2 linked regions of the Kluyveromyces lactis genome follow. The protein of the gene in region 2 purifies or fractionates together with the protein of the main gene of each other region. This does not show direct contact. Links are inferred from orthologs where the notes say so. Each region holds a gene or a part of one and is shown on either strand. Other genes may lie near its edges. The genes, in order: MLC1 and SHE3.

The links.
Region 1: the proteins of SHE3 (region 2) and MLC1 purify together in Saccharomyces cerevisiae (affinity purification with mass spectrometry, with the first as the bait; 5 studies listed by BioGRID). This does not show direct contact. The link is inferred for Kluyveromyces lactis from reciprocal best matches to the Saccharomyces cerevisiae genes SHE3 and MLC1.

What each region holds. Positions count from the first base shown.
Region 1 is NC_006042.1:961,872-964,129, forward strand, and holds MLC1 (Mlc1p), read right to left. Parts: upstream 1,241-2,258; coding exon 812-1,240; downstream 1-811. Other genes in the region: ERT1 (Ert1p), read left to right, coding at 1-656; KLLA0_F10461g (uncharacterized protein), read left to right, coding at 2,159-2,258. UniProt on the Saccharomyces cerevisiae protein: Essential light chain for the class II conventional myosin MYO1. Also acts as light chain for the class V unconventional myosin MYO2 and for IQG1.
Region 2 is NC_006040.1:759,561-762,374, reverse strand, and holds SHE3 (She3p), read right to left. Parts: upstream 1,581-2,814; coding exon 543-1,580; downstream 1-542. Other genes in the region: OPY1 (Opy1p), read right to left, coding at 1-61; RNA-binding signal recognition particle subunit SRP54, read right to left, coding at 1,965-2,814. UniProt on the Saccharomyces cerevisiae protein: RNA-binding protein that binds specific mRNAs including the ASH1 mRNA, coding for a repressor of the HO endonuclease. Part of the mRNA localization machinery that restricts accumulation of certain proteins to the bud and in the daughter cell.

The sequences.
Region 1 (2,258 bases), on a different chromosome or scaffold from region 2:
CAGAATACAGAGAGATACCGCACGATACCGAGATCCCGCATACTTTGAGGTTCACTACACCATCAGAAATATATTCGTTGGTTCAAACAGCGTTTCCAAGTACTACTGGTTTCCATGCATTGCTTCGATATCTCAAAAGAAGATTTGACAAAAATCAATTGGTGGAAATGTGTCGCTGCTTAGCTGAGTTACGACCAATTTTCATTGCCAGTACTATCGACCTCACCGATGAAGATATGATATTTATGGAAAAGAGCCATCAGAGAACTTTATTAGAGTATGAGAAATTCATCTCTCAGGTTGGTACCCCAACTTGTGTATGGAGACGTAACGGACAGATCAGTTATGTGAATGACGAGTTTTCTCTATTGACTGGCTGGAATCGTCTAGAACTACTCAACAAAATGACCTTCATAGTCGAATTGATGGATGGTGATACGGTAATGGAGTACTTCCAAACGTTCACTAGGGTTGCATATCAGGGGTTCAGAGGTGCTGAAACTATGCGAATTTGTAATCTATTAACCCCGATCAAGGGAAGCGTTATTAAATGTTGTTGTCTATGGACGCTAAAAAGAGACGCCTTTGGTTTACCTATGATGATAATAGGGAACTTCATGCCAATTCTCACCCTACCAGAAGACGTTGGGTTTTGAATCTAGAACTGTCACAAGTCAATAGTATCGGACTGCTTAGAATAGAACAAAAGAGCAAAGCTCCTGGCGTGTGAGATTGGGTATTTATATTTATATATATATTTGTATTATACTAACTAATGCATGTAATCTTGAGTTGCATTACATCCTCTCTCTTATTGTCTCAATACATCTTCAACAAATTTCTTGTAGTCGATCAATCCGTCAGAGTCGATTTCGATCCCCTTCATCAATTCATCAACTTCCTCGTCAGTTAACCTTTCCCCTAGACCGGTCAATAGGTAACGAATATCACCTGGTGATACCTTGCCAGTATTATCCTTGTCAAAAACTTGAAAGGCTTTGATGAAATCCTCTACTTTACCTTGAGTAGTTTGCTCCAACTTCTCTTCGTTATCCTTAACTAATTTTTCTAGATCACCTAAGGTCAACTCGTCACCTGAAGAAGCGACAACTTCCTCCACTAGCGCATTGGTAGGATTGTATCCAATTGCTCTCAAATAATCACCAACTTGGGCCTTACTGATGGATCCCTTGGCTTGCTTGTCAAATAGCGTAAAAATATCTTTGTTGATTCTGGACATGATGATTGATTTCCCACTTCTTCAATGAATAATACAGTACTGCGTAATTAAATCACGATTCAGTATCACTTAGCCTAGCAAGAAGTAGATACTATTTAAAGCTCCAAGGTAAATATAAATCTATTCGAATGTGTAGAACAATGCATGCCTTCCTCCAGTAAATATATCAAATGTAAAGATACTCTTATTGTTTACGTTTTTCAAAATGGAAAACAAATTATTGTTTCTGGGGCCTCAAAAGCTCTTTTTTTGGACGACCTAAAACTCAGTCAGATATCATTTACCCGGATTTTAAATACCCATCACGTGAGTCAAATATATTGTTACCCGCACAATTCAACATCGCATTTCGAAAATTTCCAACCTTCCCTCGTTCAGTTTCTTTTCCTCAGCATCCAATGTTCCTGACATCTGATGACACTTTTTCTTTTGTCTTCTTGTCGAGCGATGAAAAGTGTTCAAGCTTCTTTTTTGATATGACCTATATAACAAAAGCGATTATTAACATACTCAATAACAGTTTTTTATCGTTCAGTGTCGTATCACTTTTGTTAACTAAGACATAATTTTCATTGTTGTGTTTTCTTTTGTTATAGCTCAGTACTATATCACAGATCAGTATACCGTTTAAACTCTGAACATTATATTGTGTTCCTTCGTTCATCAGTAAAAAAAAAGGTATGTGTGACTACTATGTCCGATTACAATAGGTTCGGGTTTCCCTCAGAGGCGATGGATATATATATATTCCCTAAACTCTAACACTATTCAAGATTTTAGACTTTTACCTATAAAAAAAGTCTTTGGTTCATATTACTAACAAATTCTTTTGATTATTATACACAGAGCTAATCAACTGTTCGTTATTAGTGTTTTTTCCGGTTAAAAAGAACATCTTCTTTGCCATTGTCTAAAACCATGTTTAGACTTGTCCAACAACAGACCCTAAAGAGTAGGGTCCCAAATCAGTTCGTTTCTGCGTCCAGAAATTCTTTAAATTCCCAGTTCCGTTTCAACA
Region 2 (2,814 bases):
TTTTTACAAGATATGACGAATAAATAATCTCTTCATTATCTTCGAAGGTTTGTTGTCCCATTTCTTCTTGCAGAGACAACTGTCTAGTACTATGATATTGATTTCGCCGTTTTCCTTGTAAAAATGATGATTTCCAGGCGGCACGATCGGCCAGTGGTCATTGTAATTTGTTGTCGTTTTTGTTTAATCGTTTAGGATTCGTGCCAAGTTCCTTTCTTTATACAAATAATCCTTTGTTTCGAAAATATATGGAAATGGATCATGCAGGAAACACAAGAAACCGATATCCTGAATACAAAAATGAACGCTGATGAAAGTATGTAGATCTTCACTACTACCTGCTCGGTTAGGATGAGTACTTGAACATAGTGTTGGTATTCTCTGGAAAATCGGATTCAAGAAAGGTAACGTTTTTATTCAAATCATAAATTCTATATAATGAATTGTGAATCGCTAGATTTATGTATAAGTTAGAAACGCCAGGATAATTTATTGACAATATATGTTTGCCAACAATAGAATATTGGGAAATACTACTCTTGCTATCTATTACGGTTCGGATCTGATGATATTCTGATTGATGAAGCTCTTTTGAGGCCAGGCAATTGAGTTGAACTGCTAGATGGAGGCGTTTGTTTGTTTGATGGTATTGAGAAGCCAGTAGGAGTTCCATAAAAACTTGTCCTCTTTTGACCACTAGTTTTCCTCTTGGGATTTCTTAATTGTGGGATAGACGCTTTGGGTTGTTCTTGAATGGTAATACCTTCTGCTTGTGCTTGTGATTTGTATTCTTTCAATAAAGCTTGCGCTTCTCTTAACGAAGATTGCCAACTATCAAGCCTTAGTTCTTTGATATTATCTTCTATTTGCTCAGATGCATGTTTTTTAAAGGATTCTTGAGCACTGTCTAGTGACTCTAGTTTATTTTGTATCTTTTCATCGATTGCCAATACTTCCTTCGTCTTAGATTCCAACTGTTTGGTCATGGATTGTTTCAAAGACATTAGATCATTTCGTAAAGTGCTTGTTTCGTTCGTGAAAAACTGTTTATAAGATTGGTGTGCATCGACGATAGCTTCATATTGAATTTTATACAGAGTCGATTGTTCCGTAAGCTTTTCGTTTTCGAGTGATAGTTTCTTAACGGTTTCTTCTAACTCAAGATTTTTTTTGGCTGCATCTTCATTGAACACAGTTTGTTTCTTCAAAGAACTCTCCAATTCATTCATTCTATTAGTTTTCCTATCTAGTATTGCATTTAGGTTCATATTTTCTGTCTGCAGTCTCGAGATGGTCTCCAATTGTTTATTCTGTTTCTTCCCAGAAGATTCCAATTCATTCACTAATTGATGGCATTGAGACGTCATTTTAAGATTCGTACTCGTCAGCTCGTCTATCTGCTTGTGTAGTGATTCTATTACTCTACTGGTAGAGTATTTTCCCGGTGTGTATGCACCTAGCTTGGACGGACTCTCCTGATTCTCTAGGTTCGTAATAAAATGGCCATGGTTGATATTGAATTTGCTTGAATTCACACCTTTCGTAGGAGTCAAGAACTCTTGTGCTTCCGTCATCTTCATCCACAGTCGGTCCTAGATATTACTTCCAACGATTCTGGAACTTTAACTGAATGCTTCTGTCATTCTAAGTTGCGTGTGTCTTAATATTAACGTATTTGTTTCAGTTCGATATCGTTTTTTTTTCTTGAAATGTAAACAATGATCGTTTTAATGATCTACTACGAATAGTACTTCGAGAGAGACTGCACAAGAAGAAACTGGGCTCGATTCACCCATTTATAATGAAGCTAGCTCTATTGAAGGTATAATCACAGAGGTGGATTTCTAATTTACAGATTAACGAAGAAGAAGGTAAATAAGAGTGTATGTAACTAAACTAAGATGTACAAATATCCAAGTATCTGCCGATTGCGTTTTATAATAGCCCATTCTGAAGAAAACGCTCTACATTCCCCCAGAAAATTGCTTGGCCATTTCTTGCATACTTGGATCTTGCATCATTCCCATGATATCTTGCATGTTTGGCATACCACCTCCAGATCCTTTCATCATACTCATCATCTTGTTCATCATACCAGGATTCTGTCTCATACGCTGTTGAGCCTGTTGCATCATTTGTGGAGAGATATTTGGCATACCAGGGATTGATGGCATACCAGGGATAGAAGGCATACCTGCCTTTGGTGGCATTCCGCCTTTTGTTGGGAGTCCTCCCATTTGTTTAGTTGTTTGCGCCATTCTTGCCATCATCTGTTGTTGCATTAAAAGCATTTCAATATCAAATACCGTTGTTCCGGAACCCTTTGCCACTCTTACCAACCTACTAGGTTCATCGATGAAGATTCTACCGTCCGATTCAAGTTCCTTCTTGGTCATTGAATCAAAAATATACACCATTGTCTTCATTTTCTTTGAAGTTTCCTCTTCTGAGAATTGGTTAAGCATATTCCCCATACCAGGAATCATATTCGCGATGTTTGATAGGGGACCCATCTTCATTATTGTTTGCATCTGGTTCTTGAAATCAAGTAGAGTGAATTTACCCTGTTGGATATTCTCTAAAGTATTCTTTGCATCATCTTGGTCAGATACTGTTTGGAAACGTTCCATCAAAGATTCGATGTCACCAATTCCGAGAAGCTTAGAAACAAACGACTTGGGAGAGAACTTTTCAAAGTCATGGATGTGTTCACCAGTACCAATAAAGATAATTGGAGTATTTGTGGATGCTACAGCTGAGATTGCACCACCACCTCTTGCATGACCATCCATCTTAGTTAAAATAATGGAACCG